Linked DNA regions of Tribolium castaneum. The protein of the gene in region 1 purifies or fractionates together with the protein of each later gene. This does not show direct contact. Links are inferred from orthologs where the notes say so. Each region holds a gene or a part of one and is shown in the gene's direction. Other genes may lie near its edges. The genes, in order: U2A, Sf3b3, noi, Prp5, Prp19, SmF and SmD2.

Region 1 (3,851 bases):
TGGTCCACTTTTTCTACTTAATTCGGAATAAGTTTTCTCACCAAAACTTATTTATTTAACATTTGTTACCGAATTTTACTTGGTAGAAAAATCTCAAGTTGCGTGATACATGGGGAAAGAATTTGAAAAAGTGGCCAGGCCTTGGGATTTTCTCCGTAAACACGTAATTGGAGGCAAAGCTGGGAGATAAGGAAAAATAAAAATGTTTTTTTCGTGAGATTTGCATGTAACACAGAGTTCGTTGTAACACGAATTACATTGACACTGGACGATATTTCCGTTACTCCAAATTTGAATAATCTAAGGTCGCGCTGATTGTATTGTGACTCGCAAAAATTTTGTATAACTTGTGAGAGTTGCTAAGTGTCGTTTAATTTGAATGCGTTTCTTCACCGTAGTACTAGTGTTTCTGCAATACCACATCATTAGACATTCTTTCATTCTGTCGTCCACGAATGTGGGTTAATGATGTTATTTTATTAAATACTTTTTGAAACGAATTTCAAATCAGCGCGATCGGCTCGAAAGTTGACAATGCAGCTAATTATGATTCACCTTTTTGTAAACATGGAATTTAACTCAGGGGAAGTCCTTGCCTAAGGACTGCCGACCGGAAGCGAGCGCAGCCTTCTCACATATTTTCGGTAACGACCGCAGGCTGCATTTCCATAATTATTTAATAAAGTGGGATATTTATAGACGCTGTGTATGCAGCGCTGCTAAATTAGGCGATTTGCAGTACTGTTCCGAAGACACTCGCACTTTTATTCCAATTAGCATAAGTAAACAAGGCAACAATTGCATTCTTTCAGGTGGGTGGCATTATACAATTATTACACATTGCGTATTTAAAGTGGGTCCTTCAGAAATTTGTGATGTGAGAAACCTTTCCCTCAAGTACAATTCGGCTCACAATTAATTATCATCAGGTGGTAATAAATCTTATCGCGAAACGCGCATTCTTCAAGTCTCATTAGCTCGGAAAAGTCACAAGGAAATTTTCTTCCAGATTAAGAATGGAACGAGTTTTATCACTCATCGGCGCGTAATTGGTGTAAGTTCAATGGAAATAAACCCGTTCGGTTTGGATAAACATTTGTGACGTCAATGAATAATTTGGCTCTTGTTTTTTGCTCTAAGGGGAAGTGAAGAAGACAATGGCTTGATTCGTTTCACGAAATCATTTTTTGATTAATTAATGACGATGCGGGGAATCCGACAGATAATAATACTTCAAACGTACATTCCACACATTCATTGTGTTTTTCTTATTGTTTAGCAACTTTTTTTAGCCAGAATTAGCATATTTGTGACCAACACAAATCGCTGAAATAAGTGTTGGCAGACGTGTTTTTGTATATAGTGAAGCCTTTGAATCCGAGCCATTTTTGTTTGGGGTTTTCCCGATTATGAAATTAATTTTTTCTTACCTAATTAAAATAAATAAATAACTGAAGCAGGACTTTTTATTACAAAATACAATAATGTAACATACGGAGTATATTATCAAATTATCATTATCAGCTGTTAACAGTTAAAAGTAAGTTTGTTTTTCGGGTTAGAAGGGGTTCGGATTAACGACGTTTTCCTGTATTTTTTCATATTTAGATTCCATGTTTTGATACAAAAATTAAATTATTAATTATTTGGTCCCAATGATTGATATTTATTGCTTCATCTTAATTTTGGAAATTTTTGGAAATTCAGGGAAATTGCGTTTGGGGCGCTCTCTACAGGTATTCGTGTAACAATTACAGAAACCTGTAACGGTAGTCGGTGAAATTGATGGCTTGTGCGTTGTTTGTTTAATTGTAATTTTTCGCTAAAACCTAATTATGGTGAAGCTAACAGCCGAGCTGATTCAAAATTCCATGCAATACATAAATCCGGTAAAAGACCGCGAGTTGGACTTACGAGGTGAGGACCAAATGTAAAAAAGTTGGGTTAAGTCATCTTTTTTTAGGTTATCGCATCCCCGAAGTGGAAAATCTGGGGGCCACCGGTGACCAGTTCGACACAATTGACTTTTCGGACAATGATGTGCGCAAGTTGGATGGTTTTCCGTACTTGAAGCGGTTGAAATGTTTGCTTTTTAACAATAACCGTATTGTGTAAGTTGTGGGGTTTTTTCGTTTTTTTTTTTTGAGTTTTGGGGTTTTAGACGCATTGGGGAGCATTTGGAGGAGTACATTCCTAATTTGGAGACGCTGATTTTGACTGGGAACCACTTGGAAGAGCTGGGTGATATTGAGCCGTTGTGCACTTTGGAGAAGCTCACCACAGTTAGTCTTTTACATAACCCTATCACTTCCAAGCAGCATTACAGGCTATACCTAATTTATAAGTTACCGCAGTTAAGGTTGCTCGATTTTCGTAAAGTCACAGCTAAGGAACGGGAAGAGGCGAGGGCTCTGTTTAAGAGTAAGAAAGGCAAGGAGATTAGGAAAGAAATTGGGAAAAGGGCAAAGACGTTTATTCCCGGAGGTACAGGTAACAGTATTGCCAAAAGTAAAGGTACGTCTTACATTTTCTGTGAGTTTTATTTTTTCAATTTAATTATTTTTTCAAGGCCTTACAGACGAAGAAATTGCGAAAATTCGTGAAGCTATCAATAAGGCCAGTTCTTTGGAAGAGGTTGAACGGTTACAGAAGATTTTACAGTCTGGTCAAATTCCTGGTCAAGAAGAAATGAACGGTTAATTTTTTCTATGATTTATTGTGGGAAATGTAATATTTTTTTTCAGGATATCAAAATGGACAAAGTATGGAATATGAATAAGTTTGAGGTAATTTTCAGTCAGGTGTACAATTAATTAGTTTTATTTATAAGTTCCGGTTGATAAGAGTATTGTACTACACTAAATACAAGGTTGAGAAGCGAGCGGAATTAATTTTTCATTTTTTCTAATAAAGCAATACGTACAATAACTGGGTATTATTTCAATCTTTCCCGACTGAAACAATGCCTTTCTGGCAAGATTTATCTGTTTCAGAAATTAATTGAACGAAATAAGCTAACAACAAATTTTGTTTTGCAGCTAATTTTTCGAAGAAAATTAGTTTTTAGTTTTCACAGCGAGCAAAAGTAATGTTAATTACAGAAATAAACCAGTTTTTTAAATTTTGCGGATTTTAAATTTGTCTGTAAACATGTAAAAAATAAAAAATTGTTTTTATCTCAAAACCGTCTTGCGAATACTTTTTAGTGGCTACTCGTGTCATTTTAAGAGCGCCTTGGAAATTGTGTCTAAAGTGACCGAAATACTTTTCAAAGTGTGTGGTAATAGTGGTTTTAGAATATTTCAAAGTTCAAATAAATTTTTTCATTTCAGAATGTTTTAGTTGATTTGGAATTATTTCTATAACAATTCGCGTCACTTATTTTATCTTTTTAATTTTTCATAATTTATTTGTTGTAGTTTTTTACAAAAAATGACTAGAAAAAATAGGTATACTTATTTTTGTTGAAATGAAAAATACAAAAAAGTACATTGGCATTAATAGCGTGAATCTAAATTTGTTATTTAGATTTTTTTATTTTGCACGTTATAAGTTGACCCTGATTTCAATTAAATTTTTAAATGATTAGTTGTTTAGTCAGTCGCTGATTAATACAAAATAGACTTTAGTCGTATCTTCGCTTTTGTAAAAAACAACTTGGGTTATTAAATGAATGATGTGTTATGCTTCAGTTTAAATAAAGCACTAAATAAAAACTGGTAATTTATTTCTTCATAATAATTACAATAAAACCTCAAACCGCATTAAAATCAAACTTGGCCCCCTTGGAAATGCACCCCAAATTGGTCCCCAGGACGTGCAAGCTCGGGAAAACATCGCTCAGACTCATC
Region 2 (4,224 bases), on another chromosome or scaffold:
TAGAAAAGAACCAGAAAAAGATTATAAGAAAAATCCAAAGAAAAGTACAGAAAGAATGTTAAAAAATAATCTGAAAAAAATTCTTGACAACGTAAAAAAATGGAGTCTATAAAATAATTCTGAAAAACAAAAGGGTAGGATAAAGATAAAAATATCTCTTAAAGCTCACGTTCTAAAATGAAATGTTTAAAATTATTTTAAAAACTGCATAGTTTAATAGATGGATAGATGTTTAAAACAATTTGGCTGTTCATAATAAAACCTTCGTTTACACAATTGATAAACATACAAAAGACGTATTAATTTATTTAAAAACAAGAAACTGTAACAAATTTTATTTATTAGCGTCAATTAGTTCAAAAACGACTGGTAGACTCTCGTATTTTCCGCTGCGCTTATTAAGGGTTTCGATTTTGGGAGAGTTTCACTCATTTACAAAGTCGGGTAAAATTTTAAAACATTATAAAATAGCCTAAGTGACAGAATAAAAAACGCATGGATCTGCTCAGGCATCTATTTAATTGGTTGTCTGTTTTTGTTCCATGCAATATTAACCTCTTCTTGTCGCCTCCGTCGCATTTCTGTGGTGTTATGGAGTGAATCAAGGAGATACATTTTTTTTTTCAGTTTTGTTTTGTCATTAATAATACTAAATAGTAATAAAGAAAATTCGTCGCAAACTAATTTTATTTACAGTAATTCTGTACTATGTCTATTTTTTATTCTTTATTTTTTGAAATCAAATAATTTGTTAAGTTTTTTAATGTCAAAATATTTTCATGGGTGATTTTTTCAGCTACTTGTATCAGATCGCCCATCTTGGTGACGACGACGATGAGTTGGAGTTTAGCTCCGCTATGCCCTTAGAAGAAGGTGACACTTTTTTTTTCGCGCCTCGTTCCCTTCGTAACTTGGTTTTGGTCGACGAAATGGAATCGCTTTCACCGATTCTATCTTGTCGAGTTGCTGATCTGGCAGGTGAAGACACTCCTCAATTGTATATGCTTTGCGGAAGAGGCCCGAGATCCTCATTGCGGGTTCTACGACACGGTCTCGAAGTGTCTGAGATGGCCGTGTCCGAGCTTCCTGGCAATCCCAACGCCGTTTGGACGGTTAAGAGAAGAAGTGACGGTAAGCCTATTTTATTTTATTACTTTAAATGAAATTCATTGTGAATGAATTTCTAATAAAGCCTGGTGGTTGAACGATTTTCAACACCAGTTGCTTTTTATTTCAGATGGCGATTGGTTTGCTTGTCGTTCTGCGGGAGTAAGGTGAGTTGGAAGAAAAGAAAAACGGGGGACAATTAACGAAACAGTGATGATATTTTTTGTCCGTGTTTCAACTGAATCATTGTGATTATAGTTAATAACTGAGTTTTCTTATGACAACTTAGTATTATCTAAGATACTTGGTTTAAATACTATCATTTTGGGTTTATTTGTTACAGATGAATATGATGCTTATATTATTGTGTCTTTCGTTAACGCAACTTTGGTATTGTCAATTGGTGAAACTGTGGAGGAGGTTACAGACAGTGGCTTTTTGGGTACGACACCAACATTGTCCTGTTCAGCTCTTAGTGACGATGCCTTAGTTCAGGTACTTCTCATAATGCCCATTTCTATATATTAATTTGCAATTGATTTTTTATTATTGTATTTTTTTATTTTTAGGTGTATCCAGGCGGTATTCGGCATATTTGTTCCGATAAGCGTGTAAATGAGTGGAAAGCTCCAGGGAAGAAAACAATCGTAAAGTGTGCAATTAATCAACGACAAGTGGTTATTGCACTGTCAGGGGGTGAACTAGCTTACTTCGAAATGGATCCGGTAAATATTTTACTTCAAAAATTATTATCCCAGTTTATTCAAGGCGTTATTGTCTTTAATGCAAGTTTACTCTAACTTTATAAGTGTTATAACGGTAATTTTTCGCTTATTTATTCCGTTTACAATAAATTGCTGCATTTGATACATCGTAAAGTAACAAAAATATCAAATTGCATTCATTTTTCTAAACTATTAAACTATTGAAACATAAGCAAAAATCATTGCAATTACCGAAAACTGTGATCTAATCAAATTGCAATGTTTTTTAGAAAAAAGATGCATTAAAAAGTAAAAAATACTGTTTTTCTTTCAGTGGAGAATATTTTTGCTTACAAGTTAGGATTCTAAAATTTATAAAAGCTTGAGAATTTCGACTGTTTTGAGTGACAATAGCAGGGCGTCATACGCTCTCGGAGAGCTTCAAGAAAATACAGACTTTTAGAACTCTGACTATTAACTAACTCGCTTGAGTCGCTTCCCTCATTTGGCAAATTTCCATTCGCAATTCGGTTCAGTTTTCTGATAAAATCACACAAGCGGACTCACTTCTTGAGATTTTCACAATTTCAGCGATCTTTTAGTAGTAATTCCGTGTTTTACAGACGGGCCAATTACACGAATACAAAGAACGAAAACGTATGAACGCCGACGTCGTTTGCATGGCATTAGCAAACGTGGCGCCCGGCGAACAATTATCCCTCTTCCTTGCCGTGGGATTAGCCGATAGTACAGTACGGATTATCTCGCTAGATCCGAGCGATTGTTTGGCGCCGCGTTCTATCCAAGGATTACCCGTTTGTGCCGAGTCTTTATGTATCGTAGAAATGGGTTGCACAGATCGTGAACCGGATAACGCTGCAGCTGCCAGCACAACAAGCACCTTATATCTGAACATTGGACTTACAAACGGCGCTTTACTTCGCAACGTATTAGATCCAGTTTCTGGAGAATTGTCAGACACAAGAACGAGATATTTGGGTTCGAGACCGGTCAAACTCTTCCGAATACGAATGCAACAATCGGAAGCTGTTCTGGCAATGAGTAGCCGTTCTTGGTTGAGTTATTACTACCAAAGTCGGTTTTATTTGACTCCACTCTCGTATGAAAGTCTGGAATATGCCTCAGGGTTCAGTTCCGAGCAGTGTCCAGAAGGCATTGTTGCGATCTCCACAAATACGTTACGTATTTTGGCGTTGGAAAAACTAGGGGCTGTTTTTAATCAAGTCTCATTTCCGCTTGAATACACCCCGAGGAAGTTTATAATCCATCCTGAAAGCAATAATTTGCTGATCATTGAAACCGAGCACAATGCCTACACCGAAGAAACCAAAAAACAACGAAGATTACAAATGGCCGAAGAAATGAAAGAAGCCGCAGGTGAAGAAGAACAAGAGTTGGCTAAAGAAATGGCCGATGCGTTTTTGAATGAAGACTTGCCCGAAAGTATTTTTTCGGCGCCTAAAGCCGGGCATGGAATGTGGGCTTCGACGCTTAAAATAATGGATCCGGTACAAGGAATCGTGCATAAGTGTATACGATTGGAACAGAACGAGGCAGCAATGTCTAGTGTTTTGGTTAAATTCCAAAATCAGCCACAACAAACTCTGTTCTTGATTGTTGGCATTTCTAAAGATTTTCAACTAAATCCAAGGCATTGTAACACTGGGTTTTTGGATACTTATAAAATGGATCCAATGGGTCGGGAGTTGGAATTTGTTCATAGAACTCCTGTTGATGAAGTTCCAATGGCCCTTTGTGCTTATAATGGACTGCTACTTGCAGGAGTTGGCAGGATGTTGAGGCTTTACGATATGGGGAAGAAGAAACTCTTAAGGAAATGTGAAAACAAGGTTAGTATTATCATTTGTTTAATCATTATTGATATAATTCAGATGTTTAGACTAAGGCAATGGCATTGCTTCTTTCCTGATGTACACTGAAATATTTTTTTGCTGAAATTAAAAATTAATAAAGTATATTTTTTTAAGTATTAACTTTATAACGATAATATATTGTGGGGAGGGACATAATTTCAAGATTAAAAAAGAACTATTTCATACTAATCTGCTTCAAAATTATTTTAACAAACCTCTTTTTTTAATTGTGAAACAACTTCCGTATCATTTCGATTTTTTATCTTAGTAAATATTATTGTGTATCTTCAGTATTATTTGATTTAAAGAAACTTGATTCATAACTTGCCTTTAGACATTAATAAATGATGAAAAATTTTTTTTCTGAAATGGTGTTGAAATCCTGCAGTTCTGATTCTTTCTTAAACCAGCAATGTTTCCTTACTTATGCGTGTAGGTGCTAATATTAATATTAGGATATTCGTTTCAGCACATACCAAACGCTATTGTGAATATTCAAGCCATGGGCAAACGAATTT
Region 3 (4,670 bases), on another chromosome or scaffold:
GCCTCTCCACTTCATTCTGCAGTTGTTTGTTCCTCGTTTGCAGATTCTGCAAATCTTCAACAACCTGGTCCTTCTCTTGTTTCATCGCAAGTTTGCTCTTCTTCTCTGCTTCAAAATCGTTCTTATACACTTCGATTTGTTCCTTCAATGCGAACATTTCGTCGTTGGCACTTGTATTTTCTTGAAGTAGTTTACGCAAATCTTCGATTTCTTTAATCTTCTGTTCCCTTTCCTGTTCCAATGCTGTGATTGTCCTTTGGGCAACGCTCAACTGGGCCCGGGATTGGGCATAATCTTCGGCCAAACGCGGGTTGTACTTGTCTTGGAGCTCCTTAAGTTGCGATTTTAGGGTTTTTATCTCATCACTGAGGGTGGATTCGACGAAAGCGGTGCGTTGTTGTTCTTCCTTCAGTTTCAAGATTTCCGTTTCTTTCAGTTTGAGGAGCTGGTCGTAGGTTTGGGCTGCCGTCGATGATTGGACGAGTTTTGCGTTTTCTTTTGTTAAATTATCCAATTTTGATTGGAGGTCGGTGGTTGTTGTCTTCATTGACTGGATTTCGTCAATTAGGTCGCTTTCGCGATTTTTTGCGGCGAGAATATCCAGTTTAAAGTCGTCAATTTGTTGCTGCTTGGTTTGTAATTCCTGTTCAAGGTTCGGTACATTCACCAATTTTTGCGTCAGTCTTTCAATTTCTTCCTGTTTCAGTTCTAAATCCTTCATCATTGCTAATTTCCTTGTGTCAACAACTGAAAAGTTGGGGCCGTTGGTCAAATTTTCCAATTCCTTAAGCTTCAGTTTCAAATTCAAGATTTCTTCTTCATGGAGCTTTTTAAGATTGATGTAAACTTCAACGTCACTAACCAACTTTGCATTTTCTTCTTTATACTTATCTATGCACATTTTGGCATCGTTGAACTTATCTTTGTAGGACTTCATCACATTGGTGACCTCATCCCTGTAGGCCAAAAACCTCGTATACTGCGCCTTCATACTCATGTTATTTTGTGCGATGATATTCTTCAACTTTTCGTTTTCCTTAATCAGTTCTTCCACTTGTTTTTGAATCTCTTCATACGACGAATCCGGCGATATTGCAATACTTGCAACTGAGGGCACAATCGCATCAACAGCTGCTGGTAATTCTGGCAACGGATCAACGGTAATTTGTGATATTTTCATCCTGATTAGATTTTCCATTTCGTGAACCTTATTTGTCCTTATTGGGGGCAAGATTTCGTCCCTTGGAGGGCTGCAAGACAAACTTTCGCTGATGGAATTTGAAGTTTCCAAAACGACAAATGAATCTTCATCATCGGACCCGATTGACGGAACCATGGACTCTGCAGTGTTTTTCACAGCAACGAAGGACTCGTCACGACTCATTTTTGATGACTTTCAAGTTTTAACAACAGCTGCAGTACAACACTACATTTGCGGCGCAAAATAGAATGAATTAGAACATAGAATATGAAAATACCAAACTACTGACACACGATTAAAGACACTGCTACCAACCGGACCAATAAAAAGTCGCCTTAGCCTTAATTTAATTTTTTAAGAATATTAAAGCTCTAAAAATGTTATTGTGGCATAACTATTTACGTAAAATTTCATTTGGGACACAACTGTAGTCGTAAAAAAATTGTAAAGTCAAAGAAAAACCGCTTAGTGATTTTCTAGTGTGACAATAATGGTGCACCTCTCTCTTATTCTACGCTGACATTTTGTCATTTTTTGACAGTCGACATTTGATGGCGTCGGGTAAATAAATAATTTTCGCAATTTTCTAAAAAAAGTCGCAATGGAGACGATTTTGGAGCAACAACGGCGTTATCACGAGGAAAAAGAGCGTCTCATTGACGCAATGGTTAAAGAAATTTTACATAAAAAAACAACGGTAAGTTGTGATTCTCGTGGCGCTTTGCCCCCTGACAGAGTCTTTGTTTTAGTACCGCGAGGCAATAAACTCGGACTATCGCCTTAAATTTCTGCTAGACAAATATATGACCTCCACTGATCGTTTGATTGAGCTGTATGAGGACAAGGACGGGCAAAGAAAAGCGGAAGTCGCTGCCCTTACAGGTCCAAATGAGTTTCAGGAGTTTTACAATCGTCTCAAGCAGATTAAAGATTTTTACAGGAAGCATCCTAATGAGGTATAGTTTTTGAATATTTTGTGTGTTTGTGTAATGATTTTTTTCTCAGATAAGTATTCCAATGTCTGTTGAGTTCGATGAACTAGCCAAAGCGCGTGAAAATCCCACTGAAGAAATGGCAAGTGAGTCTTGCTAGGCTCGTGTGATCACAGTTGTTTAATTACGTTTGTTTTTTCAAGATTTGGTTGAATTTACGGATGAGGAAGGTTATGGGAAATATTTGGATTTGCACGAATGTTACGAGAAATATATCAATTTGAAAGGCATTGAAAAGGTTGATTATATCACATATTTGGGCACTTTTGACCAGCTCTATGACATTCCTAAAGAACGCAAAACTGGAGAATATCGCAAATATTTGCTTTGCTTGATTGAGTATTTAACTTGGTTCGTGCAAAGAGTCAAACCTTTGATGGACATTGATGCTGATTTGCAAAACGAAGTTGATAATGTTATGGTCCAGTGGGAGAATGGGACTGTTCCAGGATGGCCCGTAATTTGGTAAAAAACTAATTTATTTTTACTACTTCATTTACTTTCAGAAAGAGACAGGGTCGGCCTTGGCGAACGTTGGGGCCCATTTAGACTTGTCCGCATTTTCAAGTTGGGAGGAATTGGCTTCTTTAGGTTTGGACAGATTGAAGTCGGCCCTAATGGCTCTTGGTTTAAAATGTGGCGGGTAATTATTTACGTCTTGCCATAAATAAAATTCTAATTATTTATTTAGGACGTTGGAAGAGCGTGCCCAGCGTTTATTTTCAACCAAGGGCAAAGGCTCACTAGATCCGTCTCTAATGACTAAAAACAAATCTGGCAAAGCCAGTAAGGAAAAGGAGCAAATGAGACAAAGAGAACTGGCCTGTCTTGAGGCACAAGTTTATAGGTTGGCCGAGCTGGTCGCCCCTCAACGCGCGGCAACTAAGGAAAATGTCCAGAGAAAACAAGCGCGGACGGATGGTGAAAGAGACGATAGTGAAAATGAGGAGAGTGAGGAGGAAAGTCCCGATGAAGCCGACGATGACGTTCCCTACAACCCCAAAAACTTACCTTTGGGCTGGGATGGAAAAGTATGTGATTTTGAAAGTAAGTTGGTAAAATTGATTGTTTCGTAATTGCAGCCGATTCCATACTGGTTGTACAAACTCCACGGTTTGAATATCAGTTACAACTGCGAAATTTGCGGCAATTACGTCTATAAAGGACCAAAGGCGTTTCAAAGACACTTTGCGGAGTGGAGACACGCTCATGGAATGCGCTGTCTGGGAATCCCCAATACCGCGCATTTTGCCAACGTGACGCAAATTGAGGATGCCCTAGCACGTAAGAAGTTGCAATTTTGGTTTCTTACCTTGTTACGGTTGTTTTCCAGTGTGGGAGAAGCTCAAAGTGCAAAAACAGGCAGAGCGTTGGCAACCTGAAACAGAGGAAGAGTACGAGGATTCGCAAGGGAACGTCGTTAACAGAAAGACTTACGAGGATCTTAAAAGACAAGGTTTATTGTAATTTGTGCTGTATTAACAATAAGTATCAATAAAAAACATAAACAAAACTTTAAATATTGACATTTTATTTTGATGGTCGCCTTGGGAAGGGGAATTTTCGACTGTTCGTTAGCACGAACGTACAAAACTGAGCCCGAAATAGGGATAGAGAGAGTGAAAATTATTCCTGTTACTTAAGAAATTATTCAGTAGTTTCTGCGTAAATAAATAATAATTTAAGTACTCATTTAGCGTGTTTTTAGAGTTCGGTTGAATGCACAGTCGGCTGCAATTTTTCTCACTTACCGAACGATGCGCATTTGTTTGTGCCTGTGATTTGACCAGATTTGACTTTGACACATAAGTGGGTAAATTCATCCAAATAGGTTTGTGATTTTATTCAACCTTTAATCACTAATTCTTTAATCATCAGAGTCTAATTTCTATAATGTGCGAGCTAAAATGGACGTATTAAATGCGGTATACAACTTAAACAATGAAGAAACCCTCAAGTCCAGTTGGTTCGGTGAGGTCTTCTCGAGTTTTTCGACTCAAGAGACGTACCAGGTAAGAAAACTGCGATTTGAATCAGTTTTTGCGTAATCACGGGGTTCCAGTGGGGCTTCCAGCTACTGCCCGTGTTACTGGCAGCGATTTTCGCAACGATAATTTCAGTAACGTATTTTTGCATACGAAAATGCCACCGAAAAGGTACAAATTAGTGTTTAGTTGTCTCGGTTGTAATAATTTGATTTAGCTCTTTTTGCGCGACAATTGAAATCCGAAGAGGCAAGTGCAAGGTTCAGGAAGAGGGATAAAGCGTTGTTTTACGGGCGCAAAATGTTACGCAAGGTGAAAAATATTTCGGGCCAAGTGCGGAACTCCGGTCAGGGCAGGAAAAGGAAAATGGTGATGAAATTCGCGAGACGGATTTTACAACTAAAGAAGGAAAATGATACGGAACAATTGAAGGTATTTAATATGTAACCAGATCTCGGCGTTACACAAGTGCGTGAAAGCAAGGACACGAGA
Region 4 (4,950 bases), on another chromosome or scaffold:
GCTTCATTTTGCCGGTGGTCAAGTACTAGAAAGTTAATTTACGCCTAAACTGTTGAAGGTAGAAATATGATGTCGGAGACTTTTTTCTAGAGAATTTAATTCTCTACAACTTTGTTTCTTACAGTTTTTTTGTATCTTCTACGGTTTCCACAGCGTTTGCAAAAATATAAAGTGAAACGCAAATAAACTTTCGGTTACTAGCGCTCTCATTTTTATTCTGCTGTACTATTTTTTTGGGTTCAGAATTTTCTTGTTTCATCTCCTAAGTTAAAGTCTTCCGTAGCATAAAGTAAAGTAAAACAAAAACCTTTTAAAAATTAAAAAATCCCACAAAAGGATTGAACAAAATAACAATGTATCTAAGACCTAAAATTCTTTGTAAATAGATTACAAATTTATTAGAAAGAAAACCAATTAGAGATTTAGAAAGAATAACGTAAAATTATGCGTAAAATAGTGATTTTTATATCAGAAATAAAGTTTAGCCTCCTTGATGTGAAATACAAAACTTATTAATTAACTTATTAATAAGTCTATACAAACGCAAGTTTAATAAAAAATTAAATTTTAATTTAGTTATTGGTATTAATTTCACGTAATTACAAAATAATTACGATTTCAAGATAATTTGCGCCGAAATTTGAAACGTCGGCCATCATAATTCGCCCGTTCTGTATTTCTGTATCGCTTGTTTTAACCCAACCAAATCAATAATTCGAAATGATAAAATAAGACACGAAATGGCTTTTTCTGCACATTTTTTCACATTCCTCGCGATAAGTAAGTGCCCCCTGATGATGTAACCCCATTACGTAACACTTTTTTTAGTCATAACCTCACACTTGACGTTATGTCAGGAGCCCGAAGTTGTGGAAGACATCTCCAGCAACCTCACCTCCTTCACCAACTCCACCCACAACGCAACTCTCACAAACACCACTGAATCATCCAGCAACAAAACCCTCAAACTCGTGCAATGTTTGCCCGATTTTGGGGCCCCCGAAGTCCAACTAGTCAACGACACCGAGCTCATTAAACTCCTCTTCACCCAGAGCAACATCACGAGCCGGGACACCCCCGCCGGGTGCATCCTAGTGCTGTTCTACTCGAAATATTGCCCGTTTTCCAGCATGGCAGCCCCCCATTTTAACGCTCTGCCAAGGGCTTTCCCCGATATTAAAATGGTGGCTATCAACGCGCTGGCTTATCGGTTGTTTAATACGCAGAACGGGATTGTGGGGGTTCCCACGTTAATGTTGTTTCATAACGGGAGACCCGTTGCTAAATTTAATGAGTCGGAGTATACACTTGAGCTTTTTTCCAAATTTTTGGCCAAACATACGGGGATTGCGGCTGCCGAAAAGTCAATTGTGACCTCGGCTGATTTCAAGGGGCCTGTCACCAGTGTCCCTGCGCGCGAATTTGATATTTTTTTGATCATTTCCTGGGTTTTTATTGCTCTGTGTGGGGCTTATTATTTCACGAAGTCCAAGTGCTGGGGGTGGATTGTTGAGACCATTCAGAGCAACTGGAGGGAGTCGGAGGCACACGCCCAGCATGAGCATGCCGATTAGGCCCTTTTTTGTTTAAATAAATTATTTTTATTGAATTTAATTGCGTTTTATTTTGTTGTGTGTTGAGTTTGTACTAAAAAAAGAAAATTGGGACGGAAAAAAAGTAAAAACTTCCATATCTTTTTTTTTGATAACATTTTAAGCCTTTTTTTAATATCTAAATCCTAGTTTTAAAACACGTTACCCATAGCAATATTTTAAAATAATTTTTTTGCCTAAAAGTCGCAGTTGGTATTTCTACTATCTCGAAAAATCCCCAAGCATAAACACAAAAAACACCAAATCTGGGGATTTTCGATCACTTTCTTTGTCAGATTACAGAAAACTGTAACCGTGTAAATAAAGATTAGGTTATGTTTGGGGCACAAAATCTTACTTTTAGTTGATTTAGGTCCAATTTTAAGAAAAACTAAAGACTTACGATGGTTCGGGGCGGGTAAGTGAAGCTATAATAATTTTTTTTGGCCAAATTGTCTAACCAAACTTTTGCCCCTTTTGAAGACGCGACAGGAGCCGTTCTCCCGACCGGAAGCGGCGCCGTTCGCGCTCCAGGAGCAAAGACAGGTCCAGGTCTAGCCGCCACCGTCGAAGTAGGTCCCGAGAGAGGCGCAGCAGGTCCAGAGACAGGAGAGAGCGTGACAGGCGTTCGTACAGTCGAGACCGAGACCGTCGAAGGTTTGTTTAATTTTCACTTTTTCCTGGATTAAAGTTGGAATTTCTAAGAGGTGACAGTAAGGAGAAGCGCAGTTCTGGCAAATCCAGACGTCGGGACAAGTCCAGGTCTCGCTCCAGATCCACAGACCGGAAGAAGGATGATTCAGGTCTGGCTTTTGATCCGGCGAACCTTGACAAGGAAGAAGAGCAAAAAAAGTTGGAACTTGAGATGCAAAAACGCCGCGAACGCATTGAGCGTTGGCGCGCCGAACGCAAGAAGAAAGAGGAAGAAATGAAGAAAGATGCACCAAATGCAACCACAACAACTGACGAAGCCACTGCCAAAAAATGGTCCCTAGAAAACGACTCCGAAGACGAGGATAAAGACAAAGGCGAAACGAAGGAGGATCAAGTCGAGGAAGAAACAAACGGGGAAGCACCGCCACAGGAAGAAAAACAAGAAGCGAAAGAAGAGAAAAAAGAAGAAGAAGAAGAAGAAGAGGAAGTCGATCCTCTAGACGAGTATATGAAAGGAGTTCAAGAAGAAGTGAGAAAGACTCACAAACTTGACATGAAAAAGCCCAAAACCGAGTCCGGGAATAAAAAAGGTGCCTTAGTTATTGTAACAGGGGTGGCCAAATCCAAGGTTAATAAAAACAAAGGTGAGTTGATTGAGCAGAATCAGGACGGTCTGGAGTACTCCTCTGAAGAGGAAATTGAGGACTTGAAAGACACAGCTGCGAGTATTGTTAATAAGCAGAAGAAGGAATTGGCGAAAATTGATCATAACATGGTTAGATATTTACCGTTTCGGAAGAATTTCTACGTAGAAGTGCCCGAAATTGCCAAGATGACGCACGAAGAGGTGGAGGCCTACAAGGAGGAGTTGGAGGGGATTCGAGTCAAAGGTAGGGTTTTTGAGTTGAATGCAAGGTTTTTTCTACTACTGCCTAAATAAAGCAAAAGTTGTTTTATTATTTAACACCCAGTGTAGTACAGTATAATCGTCGATTATTATTAATTAATTTTTAATAATTCGTGGAAGAAAATTGTTTTTCAAACAGTCGACGATAAATAATGATTTTCTGAGGCAATGTTTGTTGACTTTTAATGTTCTTTATTAAATAGTAGGCATTGGTAAAAATACATATAAAAAATAATAGGGGGGAACAAAAATATCTTAATAAAAAAAAGAACAATACAAAAAAAGAACACAAAAGACGGATGAAGAGGCGAAGTTGTGACACAGGTGTTCCACTTAATATTTAATATTAATTATTAAAAATTATAAAATAAAATGAAACTGAATAATTAATAACTAAATAAAAATTGTCTATCGACAAAAACAAAGAAACAAAATAGAAAAAGAAAGAAAATTTAATACAACATAATCGGAACCAATTATGGCAATATTTTGGAATATTTATTGTTCGGTTGACTATAAAAATACATATTCATTAATTTATAATAATTTGTCGGAAAAATATTTCAAACAGTCGACGAAAATTGGTAAATTAATTGGAAAAACTAATTTATTTAATAATTATTTGAAACACCGTTTGTTGACCTTTAATTAATGCTTTATATTAAATAATAAGTATTGGTAAAAATACATATAAAAAATTATAGAAGGATTATAAGAAAGAACAATATAAAAAAGACAATAAATGGACGAAGAGGCGAAGTTTTGTCACAGATATTCCACTTAACATCTTAAAATTTAATATTAATTATTAAAAAATATAAAATGAAAAGAAACTGAATAACTAATAACTAAATAAAAAGTGGCAATCAAGCAATAATAATTAATTAATAATTAATAATAATTATTACGAAAATAACATTCTTTAAGAATAGATTTTTATCTATTATCAATCCCAGACTTTTAGTCAAAGAGAAGCTGGAAATATTTTTGAAATAAACAGCTTTCATCTATTTCTGTCTTAATATTTGTCAACATTACATAATCATTCCTTTTGTAAGATCAAATTTCGATAAACTGTGATTTTGTGTTTTGAATTTTTTTTCTAAACACAAATTAAATCACATTGTCGGCCGGCCATTACAATTATTCATACACATCGAAGACGAAATTCTAGTTTTATGGGCGGGACCTGTTTATCGTCTGATTTGTCCCCGACTAATTTATCTACGGCACAAAAAACTGCAACACGATTAAGGTGTTTGCCATTGGTTATTGATGGACTAATGCGCTCCCAACTACAAAACAGGCCAATCACAAGGCGATTAAAAAGGCGACAAAAACTGGTTTTATTATTGGGTGCTACTTTCCCTGATTTCTAAGAATTGCTGCTGAAAATTGCAAGCTGAAACTACAGAGCAAACAATTTAGCGACCAAACATTTACTTTTTGTAATTGATTATTTGGTTAAGAAATGATGTTTTTTCGCGCTTTTGCTTTGGATGCCGGTCTCGCATCGGCACCCTTGATGAGAATTAAAACAATAAAACCTTTACGTCCCAATAATCGGATTTATTAGCGCGTCGTTCCATTATTAAAAATCCATACAGCTCCTGATGCAAACAAAGTCTTAAAATTCCTGTTTCGTGTTCAATTTTATTGCTTCGTCATGCGTAACACTGAGATAAAAGGGGAGACGATTGTACGATTCTCCAACCCTTGATTGTGTTACGTCTTTATGCCCAAGTTAACTAATTAGGGTGCGATAATACGGCTTTTGCCGAAACTAACTTTGCTTAC
Region 5 (5,015 bases), about 1.2 Mb from region 1:
TTCATAAAATTTAATTGCAATTACAATGTTGCTCTAAATACGGTGTTGAAAAGTCATAGTTTGAGTGACTCATTTTAAATTCAGTAACTAAAAATTAAATCAAACACTCAAACAGTTTATTGCCACGTAATAATTTTGTCTTTAACTTCAATGAATGAAAGTGGCTTGCTCAAAATTTAATGCAAAGAAACATTTTTTTTTGGTTTCTTTTTTATTATTATTATTTTTTTTGCTACAAACGGTAGCCAACGTGGAAGCGAAACACAGGTACGTCCATTTTATTGTTGTGTCGTATTTATTTATTTCACAAACCAATAATTTCATAAAATTTAATTGCAATTACAATGTCGTATACACCGGCTCTAAATACGGTGTTGAAAAGTCAGTTTGAGTGACTCATTTTAAATTCAGTAACTATTAATAAAATCAAACACTCAAACAATTTATTGCCACGTAATAATTTTGTCTTTAATTTCAATGAATGAAAGTGGCTTGCTCAAAATTTAATGCAAAGAAACATTTTTTTTTTGGTTTCTTTTTTATTATTATTATTTTTTATGCTACAAACGGTAGCCAACGTGGAAGCGAAACACAGGTACGTCCATTTTATTGTTGTGTCGTATTTATTTATTTCACAAACCAATAATTCGTTAAAATTTAATTGCAAATAAAATGTTGTGTACACCGGCTCTAATACGGTGTTGAAAAGTCATAGTTTGAGTTTTAAATTCAGTAACTAAAAAGAAAACACTCAAACAATTTATCGTCGCGTTTTGATTTTGTCTTTAATTTCAATCGATGAAAGTCACTTGCTCTAAATTTAATGCAAACATTTTTTTTTGGTTTCATTTTTATTATTATTATTTTTTTAATGCTACAAACGGTAGCCAACGTGGAAGCGATATGAAGGTAGGTGTATTTATTTACTGAAGTTTTAAATTTAAATTGCCACATATTAAAACGTATTGTGTATTTTTTATTTTGTTTAATATTGACAAATGTTGCTTGTTGTAACTTTCATGCAAATAAAGATTTTTTATTGGTGTTGTTTTTATTTTTTAATGTCTTGCTACAAACAGTAGCCAACGCAGAAGCCATATGAAGGTAGGTGCATTTTTTTGCGTTTTATCTTGTGATGTGTTGAATTTAATAGCTTGTGTGCCATATATTATACCGTATTGTGCATCCTTTATTCTGTATAATATTTATTAGTGTCGCTTTTTGTAACTTTCCTACAAATTATTTTTTTTTGTTGGTTGTGTTTTTAATTTATTTTTTAGGTTTTGCTACAAATGGTAGCAGATGCAGTATAAAGGTAAGAACATTTATTTAACGCCAAGTGAAAAACTTTGATTTTTGTGTACTTTTTTTTTATTACACAAACCAGTAATGTCTTTATTCCCTTTTATTTTCCAATAATCATTGTTTACCTCATCCTTATTTCCTTTTTTCCTGGCAAGAATGCTCTAAACCTCCACGTGGTTCTTGCTGGACAAATTAGTTATTAATTTGACTGATTAGAGCAATCTTTAAATACGAATTTTTTTAACGCAGTTTGCAAAATTGAGACATTTTTTTACAGCCGAAGGCCCTATCGAAGGGCTTATTCCCCTACAAAAATAATGAACATTGCACGGTAAAAAGGGGGTGAAAAAAAACAATTTGCATTGCTTGAATATAAGAATAAAAATGTAGTCAAGTTTTAATTTGTAATAGAAACACATTAGAATGATCAGGGTATGTTTTTCTAATGATTTACGATTATTTTGATAATTTTCCTGGTGTGAACTTGGCTGTAGAAACGAGAATGTTGCTAGCTCCAGGCGCGCAACGATTGTCTGGTCGACTGTAATGTTCATGGTGCCATCATCATTTTTAGTGCATCTGCACAGATATCTCGGCCACAGTGTTTTTCACTTTGTGCGGTTGGCGACACATCAAGCTAAGTTAGCAAAAATGGCGTTGTTTTGTGCCCGTAAGTATGAATTTTTGTTGCGATTTTGAATAAAGTACGCTTTTTTAACGAATCAAAACTTAATTCGAGTGTCAGTAATGAGCTTCTGGCGCAGTTTGGGTAACGATTTGGCCCGGTTTCAGTTTCAAACGAGGTGCCGGAACACCCAGTCGTGTCCCCAACGTCGGGTGCGATTTTCGAAAAACGCATCATCGAAAAGTACATCCAGGAGCACGGCAAGGACCCCATCAGCGGTGACGAGCTCACCGTGGACAAGCTCATTGAAATTAAGAGTGAGTAGCCTAACCCAACTTGTTCGGTTCTAACCGCCACACAGCCCCGCCGATAGTCAAGCCGAAGCCGCCGAGCGCCACCAGCATCCCGGCCACGCTGAAGCTGCTGCAGGACGAGTGGGACGCCGTGATGCTGTACAGCTTCACGCAGAGGCAGCAGCTGCAGACGGCGCGCCAGGAGCTGAGCCACGCGCTCTACCAGCACGACGCCGCGTGTCGCGTGATCGCGCGCCTCAACAAGGAGGTGACCGCCGCCAGGGAGGCGCTGGCCACGCTGAAGCCCCAAGCGGGCATCATCACGGTGCCGCAGCCCGCGGTGGCGGCCGAGGCCGGCGGCATCGCCAACCAGCCGACAGAGCAATGCGGCCTGACTGATGAAGTGATTGAGAAGCTGCAGGACAAGGCCACGGTGTTGACGCAGGAGAGGAAGAAGAGGAGCAAGACGGTGCCTGAAGAGGTGTCCACGCCGGAGCAGTTGAGGGGATTCAAGACTTTGGCCTCACATCCGGTATATTTTCAATGTTTTTATTTATACCATCCAGTATTTCCCCGAACATCTCTTGCATTTTGCACAATTGTCGTTTTAAAAATTTCACTTGACAAATGCAAAGATTACTAAATGTGGTAGAAAATGACTTAGTTTTCTCTCTTACGAGTGTTTTAGCACATTTACCAATTGGAAAAACGTGTAAAGGTTGGTGTTATTTTGCTGGATTTACTCGATTTAGCTTGTTATTGGGCGAAATTTCATCAAAAATAAGCCAAAAGTCACAGGATGTGTTCAAAACACTGATATTTTTTAACTAAATGTTCGTTCAAATAAAAGAATTTCTTTCTAACCTAATTCTAATTGAATTGAGCCAAAAATGCGTTGTTTTTTTTAAGTAAATATCTAAATATTTCAATAAAGTGATCGAAAATGATGTCATTTCAGGTTGTTTATCTCGAACTTATTCTGAGAAATCAGGAAATTAATTTGGGAAATCTTCTATTTTCGTAATACATTTTGCAGTCAAAAAGCAAAATTTCGTTGAAATCTTGTTATTTTTGCCATTTTCCGGCAATTTAATTCGTATAACATTCGACAATGTAGTTATTTCGAATTTTTTTTTTAAGATAAGAGCGAAAATGTTACATTTTTTTGTTGTTTTCAAGTGTTTTAAATTTTTTTTGAAAACAATTTAAGCTTTTTTCTATAAACATTACAAAAACTTAATAAAAAAGCACTATTTTTACATCAAGATGGTTGTTATTTTAGACCATTCCCTTCGATTTTGTTTGTTTTTGAGCCAGGAATTTATTTATTTCCCAACAATAAAAATATAAACTTATTATTTTGTTTTTATTAACTTTGATTAACTTTCGCGAAATTCCCTTTAAAAAAAAACGCAAGAAACCACAAAATTTGATCAAAATTTTTACGTTTTTTAAGCTTTAGAGCACGTTTTTGAATTTAATTTTCAGCTTTTTTGGCGAAATTTTGCAAAACCAACTGAGAAAAACATGCAGAAATAATTTTTCTGTTTTTTGAGGCTTTTCTAAAAAGGTAGATGAAAAAAACACCAAATTAATTCTAAGATTTTATTATTTTTCGAGTTCACGAGCATTTTAGTACGCTTTTAAGACAGAACTGTTTTCCAAATTTCGTAAAAAAAATAAAAAGCCGACTCTTTTATTTTACGAGATCTTGACAAAACACCTAAAAATCAAAAACTTATTATCAGCTTATTTTTGAATGAAATGTTCCCAAAAACAAGACAAGAAACCAATGAAATTGTTAAAATTCTTATTTTTTCTTTATTCATGCTTTCAAGCACATTTGAATTTTTGTTTTAATCGCCAAATTAAATATAGAAAACTACATTAATTTTTCATTTGCGATCATTTTAATACGTTTTACACTTAAAACCACAAATATTCCGCAAAATTTCGTTCAAAACCATTCGGAAACTAATTTATTTTGTAATATCTTGTCACATAAGTGAATCGACATTAATTATTATTTAATTATTTAGTATATTTGAGTTTGAGTGAAATTCGTCAAAACTCATTATAAATAAGTCGAAAATTGTGTTAGTTTTACTTTTTTCCGGGCTGTAAGCACAAACTTTTGCTAGAATTGGCTAAAATCATCAAATTAATTAACACAATAACAAGTGTTCATTTAAAAAAAACTCTAGAGTGCTTTGAAAATAAAAAAATAATTGTTTACTATGTCTGTGATTAATCCGTTCTTTCATAACCTTACTTTTTGACAACTAAAAGAAAACAGATTTTCATCATAAAATTTATTTATTATTTATAAAAACTGTTGGAAATGTCTTCCTTGTTGTTCAACACACATAACACATCGCCTTTGAACACTATTTAACAATCTTTGGCTATGAATTGTGATGACCTGGTTGATAGGCAACCAACAATACAATGATAAAAATTGATCTACGAAATCCGTAAAAATGTCAGAGCATGCTACGAGTTTTTTTTAAATAATGAACACCTGATACCATTTATTTAGTTCGCTCTTGAACCAGGAAATTCTTCATTTCATTAGAACTCGCCAAAACTGCCAAAAATTCACTTTTAATTCAGCTCATTTTTTGACCTAAATTTGGTTAATCTTTTTTTACTTTTATTAAGGTTTTGAACCACATTTTCAGTTTGTTCAAGCAAACCGAAAAATCACCAAGTTCGGGCGAAAATTAGCAGATTACATTTTTTATTGAGCTAGAGTACACTTTACAGAGTAATTTCTTTGCCTCCAGGGGCTG
Region 6 (2,970 bases), on another chromosome or scaffold:
GCAGGAAGCCAGTTAGAGGGGTACCAAACGTGGGGGCTTACCTGATCTGGAAGTTGATTTTTGTGCGGTCCAAGGGGGCTATCGTGGTCTTGGCGAGGGCCCCCGCTATGGCGCCCGCACACAGACTAGTGAGGACGATCTGAGTGTTGCTCAGCTGACTCGAAACAGGGTCATGGCTTTTACGAGCCATTTTTTGGAAGACTAATCAAGGCATTATTGGGTCAACTGGAACGGGAATGAAGAATTAGAGGAGAGTCGGAGGAAAGGAGGCAAAGTTCAAAGTGTGTTACCTTTTTTTAATTGGACGGGGATTTAACAACATCTAAGCGTGGAGTGATAAGACTATCGCAAATGACGAGCTGTTTTGTTATATAACTTTATTTATTAATAAATTACGTTAGAAATGAGGCGATAAATCGATTCGTTCGGGGGGTTTACAACCCTGATTAAGGGCTCCCACTAATCGGGGCCCCAAACAATTACCTGGCACAATTGGGCGATAAAATCATCATTTTATCAGAGATAAAAATAAATAATTCATTAATGACGAGTCTGTGCCAAATTTCGTGACGCTAACTGTACTTTCACCTGTTTCACCTTGATAATAATAATACAATTGACGTGTAAATATTTACAAGAAAAATGGTAAAAATAACCCGCTAAACCCACCCCAAACCTAATCAAGCTTGTTTCAGGCCCGCTACTTCAAGGAGCAAGACATTGACGGTAGGTACCCCCGTGATAGCCCCCCAAACTAACTCGTAAATCTTGTAGAATTTCGCGAGTGTTTCTACTTGTTTGCGCGCTCGGGGCACATCAAGTCCCTGGACGAACTCACAGTGATAATGAGGAGTCTGGGGCTGTCGCCCACCATCTCAGAGCTTGCGGGTTATTTCAAGCAAAAGAACGGCAAAATGAGCTTTGCTGACTTCTTGGAGGTTATGCATATTCACTCACGGGTGGAGAACGTGCCCAAGGAGGTGGTGGACGCCTTCAAGGCTGGGGACCCGGAGGGGAAAGGGGTGATTCCGGCCAAGCAGCTGCGTCACATGTTGCAAAACTGGGGCGAGTGTCTTTCGGCCAAGGAAATTGATCGGATTTTCAGAGAGGCAAATGTTAATAACAACAGTATGGTGCGGTACGAGGATTTTGTTAAGATTGCCTGTGCACCAGTGCCGGATTATTACTAGAGGGGGCTTACCCTAACACAGTCTTTTCCACGAAATTATGTAAAACACATGTCACAAATTTTTATTTTCGGATTTTCGCACTGGGGGGTTGGCAATGATTTTTCGGTTTGGTAAAATAGAGAGCCGGCAATCAACCCCCGCACAGTTATTTATTCTAACGCCAATAAATCATTAATTGACCACAATCCTTGTTTTTTTTAATTACGGTAATTTTAGTCCAAGAATCACAAAAAAACAATATGCGCCCTAAAAAATCAGACACCCATCAACTTTTTATACGTCGATGGTGGATGGAAATTTTGACAATTGACACAATTGTCGCTCGATTCCAACCTCACTTTTGCTGGTTAGCGTTGTGTCAACGTTTTTAGTTTATTTGCGATTTTTTGCACACAAAAACAACAACCATGTCGACCGCAATGCCCATAAACCCCAAACCTTTCCTCAACGGCCTAACAGGCAAGGCTGTGATGGTAAAATTGAAGTGGGGGCACGAATATAAAGGTTACCTTGTCTCAGTTGATGGTTACATGAATTTACAATTAGCAAACACAGAGGAATTTATTGATGGGAATATGACTGGTATGTAACTATGCTTTGGAGGCGGACCCCCTTGTGTAACATTTTTTTACAGGTAACTTAGGGGAAGTTTTAATTAGATGTAACAATGTCTTGTTCATAAGAGGGGCTGAAGAAGAGGACGAGGAGGGAGAGACGAAGGATTAATTATTTAATGTAAATTCAAGTTTAAATGTACGATCGGATACTTACGTAAATAAGTATTGTAGATTTAATTTTTTACCAAATAAATCGTGTTAAAGTACTTGTTTTTTTTTCTACATGTAACGTTACGATTGTCTACCACAAAAAAAATACACAAACTGTTACGGATTATAAACAAGAGAACTTGCTTTTGAAAAAAAATACAAAAATATATTTATTTGTTTAACATTAAAGGACGCTATAAAGTGGGGGATACATACAGTGTTCTATAAATAATTATAATGGAATAAGGAAATGATAATTAAGTACCAAAAATGTAAATTAAATCCTTGTAGTTAACGGCAAAACGAACAGATAGCAGCACAACTGAAGAAAGTTCCCCTGCACTTACAGTTACCTCTCATACACCTGCTTTTGCATTTACCCGAGAGGGAGCCAAAACATACTTTATATTTTAAAAAGCATCAATTTAATTTAATTTGATAACTTTGGCACACATTGGTCACAAGAAAAATTAAAAAAAAATTAAGTGTCATCAAATGAAGAGTCAAATACTAAAAATATTTTTTGGGCCGAAGCGAAAAAATTCAAAAACCCTTTTATCAGCCAAAAAAACTGTGGATAGCAACACAATACCTAAAAAATATATAAAACTAAAATTATTGGTCAATATTTTCAGTAAAATTACAACGCTGGCTTAAATAATTTCAATTTCAAATAAATTTAACAGTTTATCCATACTTTTTGTATACAGCGAGTTCGATAAATGGACTGCCATCGCTTTACTGCGAACTCACAGGAGTCAGAAAAGTTCACTGAACGGTAAGTAAAAGTAATATAAAAATTCAAAATTTATTAATTATTTATTCATACTAAAAGTGAAAAGTACAATTGCTACAGTTGTTAATAGTAATACGACTCGTTTGCGCACAATTAGAACTGAATCAGTTGCATTAGTCACAGAACTCAGAGGCCGTTGTATATTACTCCTATTATTATAATAGTCATGTTATATAATTCCTCTCTTCTACAAGTCCCTGAGACTCTTAATATCACA
Region 7 (2,866 bases), about 4.7 Mb from region 1:
GAAAATGTTTTGTTTTTGTAAAATTTCTGATAGTTTTTTGTTTTCTTTTAATTTTAATTTTTTATTTATAACTTTTTTTGTGTGAATATCCTATAATATTTCCCGCTGGATGAGCATTACTCATTTGCTAGGTGGTTTAGGGCGATTTTAGCTTACATTAATTAGATACAGTCAAGTTATGAATCAACTTTAGATATTTAGTAAATTTATTTATAGGATTTTTTTTTAATGGGTGAACGAAGATTATTAAAACTGTAACAGAAAATATACTTCTGCCTGGACTCTTCTTTTATCAGAAAATTTATGAAATTGGAACTGTTGTTAAGAAAAAATCTAAGGACTAAAGATGAGATTCGATGTCATTCGAAAAATATGTGTAGTAATGCCGCCGTTGATTGGTTTGATTGCATGATTGGTACCCCTTTACTCTCTAAAACATTACAAAATTAACACTAATAGCAAGTGCTTGGAAAATTTTCGCGTATAAACGCCCGGAAAATCATTTCCAAATCAAACTCCTCTACATAGAACTACTCTACATTTCCCCAAAAATTACCTGAGCAAAAGTCCACTCTTATAAACACTTGCGTCAAAAATAGAAAATTGCCCAACACAAACAATATCATTGAATACAGCGCGTGTATCTCGACACAAGAGGCATTCAGCAAGCAGCCGTAAGCATCGGCTATTATCCTATTTAGTCCGAAGTGGCCCCTAACGAGATTTAAATATGTTCATCGTCGATGTCAAACATATGAACTTTATTCCATTCATCTGGTCAATTGATTAATTGAATTAAGGTAGGCACACGAAGACCGAACTCATGAAAAACGAAGCCTCAAATGCGGGACCTTAGACGGGCGGCGACAGGAAACGCCGCAAATGAGGAAGTCGAATTAAGAATTATTAAATCTGACAACGTGTGACAAGAAAACAGACTTTTTTTGGTGATTTTCATCCATGCGGTATAAAGCAGCCAGACCGAGGAGATTTCAAAAACATCACCTTCGGCGCAACTACTTAATACCGGGTGGACAAGAGGCTTTCTTCTGGTGCGTTTCTTCAAGTATTTAATTTATATAGCGGGACGGGGTGGTTTATCGGCTCCTCACTGCATTTTAATGATTATTCTATTATTATTTGCGTTGGCATTGCTTGTATACTTAAATAAACACGCTGCTGGAATAATTACTTGCACTGGTTATCTCTTATTGTTATACTTACTATAAATAAAGAGTGATTATTGTTTATCGTAATTATTTAATTTTCGATTCTGGGGCTAACAAATTGCTGGGAATTAAACTCCCTTCGTTGGAAAAATGCACTGCAATACTCGTATTTGCAATATTTATTACATTTTCTAGTTAAATTATAATAAACGGTGCATTCCCCTATCTGATTCATTAATAGCTTGTTGCTCTTATATTTAACGTCTTCATCTCAATGGATTATAAATTGGTTTATTTGCTCGATTTTGTAATTAGTTTTTAGATCGTGGTTTTTGAGTATGTTAAAACTCTTAATTAATTATTCAAAAGAGTAATCTTAATGTAACTTTAAATGTGAGAAGAATAATTGTTGATTTAATTCGAAGTTTGTTTTCTTCACTTTAAATGTTTGAATCTGCCGCCATAGTATTAAACCCAGTTTGCGCATGCGCATTGCAAAATTCCCCAAACGCATCCAAAACGCTCAAATTCCTAACCTAACTATTTTTGTGCCGGAAAAAGTGTTGTTTTAAGTGCAAAAACCGAGTCAGAATGGCTTTAACGAAACCCAAGTCTGAAATGACGGCCGAGGAGCTTCAGGCTCGCGAGGAGGAAGAGTTCAACACGGGCCCCCTTTCGGTGCTCACTCAGTCGGTGAAGAACAACACTCAGGTGCTGATAAACTGCCGAAACAACAAGAAATTGCTGGGGCGGGTGAAGGCGTTCGATCGGCACTGCAACATAGTGTTGGAGAATGTGAAGGAAATGTGGACAGAGCTGCCCCGGCCTGGAAAGGGGAAGAAGAAAGCCAAGCCGGTAAATAAGGATCGGTTCATTTCGAAAATGTTTCTGCGAGGCGATGCGGTTATTATAGTTGTAAGGAACCCCCTAGCTACGGCTAGTGGTTAATTAGGAATAAAATTTGTATCTTCAGTTTAGTGTTTATTGAGGAAATTCACTTACCTATCACTTCACTCGTGTGGTCCTTCTGTTCTGCGGTTGATTGATACCGCGAACGTGATACTGTGGAAATATCACATTCATGTCGTTGCAAATGAAAGATTGAACGGTTTTTTAACATTTATCTATAAAAATAATACAACAAAATGTGATAAAATTTCTCCTTTTTATTTAAACAAGATAATACAAAAGAATAATAAATATTTGTAACTTATGCAAGCTGCATGACCTAACCCCTTTCACATATGATGTCCACAACGCTTGGTTCCATTAAAATCGGTTCCAGGCACCTGTGGACTGCTGATCCCAAAATCTCATCCAGGAGGAAATGAACCAAGCTGGAAAATTCAATTAATTTCACTAAATTCAAATTCGTGACGTACTTTTCATCCGCAACAAATCGCCACAAATACAACTGCAAGTAATGCGTGTCCACTTGAATTTGTTGGAGGCCAAATTTACTAAAAGTCTTCAGACGTACGCACTCCATGAACGTCTAGAAATTATTTTTTGATTAAATGCTTCAACCCTCCACAAAATGATGCCTTAATAAACTAGCCTCTGCTGTAAATTATCGGAATGCCAACTAGATGTAGTTCAGTTTACAGAAAGCGCAAGTAAAATTTAATTCAGAATTAAACATTTATTTTGCATTGTCAAATGTTAAGTTAATTAAAGGAAAATGTTATTTTTTTTAT

What was found.
Region 2: the proteins of U2A (region 1) and Sf3b3 purify together in Homo sapiens (affinity purification with mass spectrometry; 5 studies listed by BioGRID and IntAct, counting the BioPlex papers as one, with this or other methods). This does not show direct contact. The link is inferred for Tribolium castaneum from reciprocal best matches to the Homo sapiens genes SNRPA1 and SF3B3.
Region 3: the proteins of U2A (region 1) and noi purify together in Homo sapiens (affinity purification with mass spectrometry; 6 studies listed by BioGRID and IntAct, counting the BioPlex papers as one, with this or other methods). This does not show direct contact. The link is inferred for Tribolium castaneum from reciprocal best matches to the Homo sapiens genes SNRPA1 and SF3A3.
Region 4: the proteins of U2A (region 1) and Prp5 purify together in Homo sapiens (affinity purification with mass spectrometry; 3 studies listed by BioGRID and IntAct, counting the BioPlex papers as one, with this or other methods). This does not show direct contact. The link is inferred for Tribolium castaneum from reciprocal best matches to the Homo sapiens genes SNRPA1 and DDX46.
Region 5: the proteins of U2A (region 1) and Prp19 fractionate together in Homo sapiens (co-fractionation; 3 studies listed by BioGRID). This does not show direct contact. The link is inferred for Tribolium castaneum from reciprocal best matches to the Homo sapiens genes SNRPA1 and PRPF19.
Region 6: the proteins of U2A (region 1) and SmF purify together in Homo sapiens (affinity purification with mass spectrometry; 3 studies listed by BioGRID and IntAct, counting the BioPlex papers as one, with this or other methods). This does not show direct contact. The link is inferred for Tribolium castaneum from reciprocal best matches to the Homo sapiens genes SNRPA1 and SNRPF.
Region 7: the proteins of U2A (region 1) and SmD2 purify together in Homo sapiens (affinity purification with mass spectrometry; 5 studies listed by BioGRID and IntAct, counting the BioPlex papers as one, with this or other methods). This does not show direct contact. The link is inferred for Tribolium castaneum from reciprocal best matches to the Homo sapiens genes SNRPA1 and SNRPD2.

The regions. Positions count from the first base shown.
Region 1 is NC_087395.1:21,924,556-21,928,406, forward strand, and holds U2A (U2 small nuclear ribonucleoprotein A'), read left to right. Parts: upstream 1-1,749; 5' UTR 1,750-1,835; coding exon 1,836-1,917; intron 1,918-1,963; coding exon 1,964-2,111; intron 2,112-2,161; coding exon 2,162-2,514; intron 2,515-2,569; coding exon 2,570-2,695; intron 2,696-2,744; coding exon 2,745-2,779; 3' UTR 2,780-2,881; downstream 2,882-3,851. Other genes in the region: serine/threonine-protein kinase Nek8, read right to left, coding at 3,755-3,851. UniProt on the Homo sapiens protein: Involved in pre-mRNA splicing as component of the spliceosome. Associated with sn-RNP U2, where it contributes to the binding of stem loop IV of U2 snRNA.
Region 2 is NC_087394.1:10,462,818-10,467,041, reverse strand, and holds part of Sf3b3 (splicing factor 3B subunit 3), read left to right. Parts: intron 1-796; coding exon 797-1,131; intron 1,132-1,192; coding exon of another isoform or gene 1,193-1,274; intron 1,275-1,450; coding exon 1,451-1,602; intron 1,603-1,676; coding exon 1,677-1,832; intron 1,833-2,434; coding exon 2,435-3,682; intron 3,683-4,175; coding exon 4,176-4,224. UniProt on the Homo sapiens protein: Component of the 17S U2 SnRNP complex of the spliceosome, a large ribonucleoprotein complex that removes introns from transcribed pre-mRNAs.
Region 3 is NC_087397.1:5,205,763-5,210,432, reverse strand, and holds noi (splicing factor 3A subunit 3), read left to right. Parts: upstream 1-1,659; 5' UTR 1,660-1,802; coding exon 1,803-1,898; intron 1,899-1,950; coding exon 1,951-2,157; intron 2,158-2,206; coding exon 2,207-2,279; intron 2,280-2,336; coding exon 2,337-2,650; intron 2,651-2,699; coding exon 2,700-2,836; intron 2,837-2,884; coding exon 2,885-3,224; intron 3,225-3,275; coding exon 3,276-3,477; intron 3,478-3,526; coding exon 3,527-3,660; 3' UTR 3,661-3,713; downstream 3,714-4,670. Other genes in the region: NF-kappa-B essential modulator, read right to left, coding at 1-1,384; neuropathy target esterase sws, read left to right, coding at 4,101-4,205, 4,256-4,349, 4,396-4,610. UniProt on the Homo sapiens protein: Component of the 17S U2 SnRNP complex of the spliceosome, a large ribonucleoprotein complex that removes introns from transcribed pre-mRNAs.
Region 4 is NC_087399.1:718,497-723,446, forward strand, and holds the start of Prp5 (probable ATP-dependent RNA helicase DDX46), read left to right. Parts: upstream 1-1,858; 5' UTR 1,859-1,996; coding exon 1,997-2,010; intron 2,011-2,075; coding exon 2,076-2,249; intron 2,250-2,297; coding exon 2,298-3,136; intron 3,137-4,950. Other genes in the region: bug (thioredoxin domain-containing protein 15), read left to right, coding at 741-780, 829-1,574. UniProt on the Homo sapiens protein: Component of the 17S U2 SnRNP complex of the spliceosome, a large ribonucleoprotein complex that removes introns from transcribed pre-mRNAs.
Region 5 is NC_087395.1:23,125,566-23,130,580, forward strand, and holds the start of Prp19 (pre-mRNA-processing factor 19), read left to right. Parts: upstream 1-1,843; 5' UTR 1,844-1,851; coding exon 1,852-1,975; intron 1,976-2,097; coding exon 2,098-2,247; intron 2,248-2,291; coding exon 2,292-2,755; intron 2,756-5,009; coding exon 5,010-5,015. UniProt on the Homo sapiens protein: Ubiquitin-protein ligase which is a core component of several complexes mainly involved pre-mRNA splicing and DNA repair. Required for pre-mRNA splicing as component of the spliceosome.
Region 6 is NC_087398.1:3,705,894-3,708,863, reverse strand, and holds SmF (small nuclear ribonucleoprotein F), read left to right. Parts: upstream 1-1,481; 5' UTR 1,482-1,597; coding exon 1,598-1,772; intron 1,773-1,824; coding exon 1,825-1,916; 3' UTR 1,917-2,013; downstream 2,014-2,970. Other genes in the region: mitochondrial coenzyme A transporter SLC25A42, read right to left, coding at 42-190; calmodulin-like protein 4, read left to right, coding at 643-645, 696-726, 775-1,190. UniProt on the Homo sapiens protein: Plays a role in pre-mRNA splicing as a core component of the spliceosomal U1, U2, U4 and U5 small nuclear ribonucleoproteins (snRNPs), the building blocks of the spliceosome.
Region 7 is NC_087395.1:17,190,612-17,193,477, reverse strand, and holds SmD2 (probable small nuclear ribonucleoprotein Sm D2), read left to right. Parts: upstream 1-1,660; 5' UTR 1,661-1,760; coding exon 1,761-2,117; 3' UTR 2,118-2,141; downstream 2,142-2,866. Other genes in the region: serine-rich adhesin for platelets, read left to right, coding at 805-900; Vps51 (vacuolar protein sorting-associated protein 51 homolog), read right to left, coding at 2,398-2,506, 2,552-2,664. UniProt on the Homo sapiens protein: Plays a role in pre-mRNA splicing as a core component of the spliceosomal U1, U2, U4 and U5 small nuclear ribonucleoproteins (snRNPs), the building blocks of the spliceosome.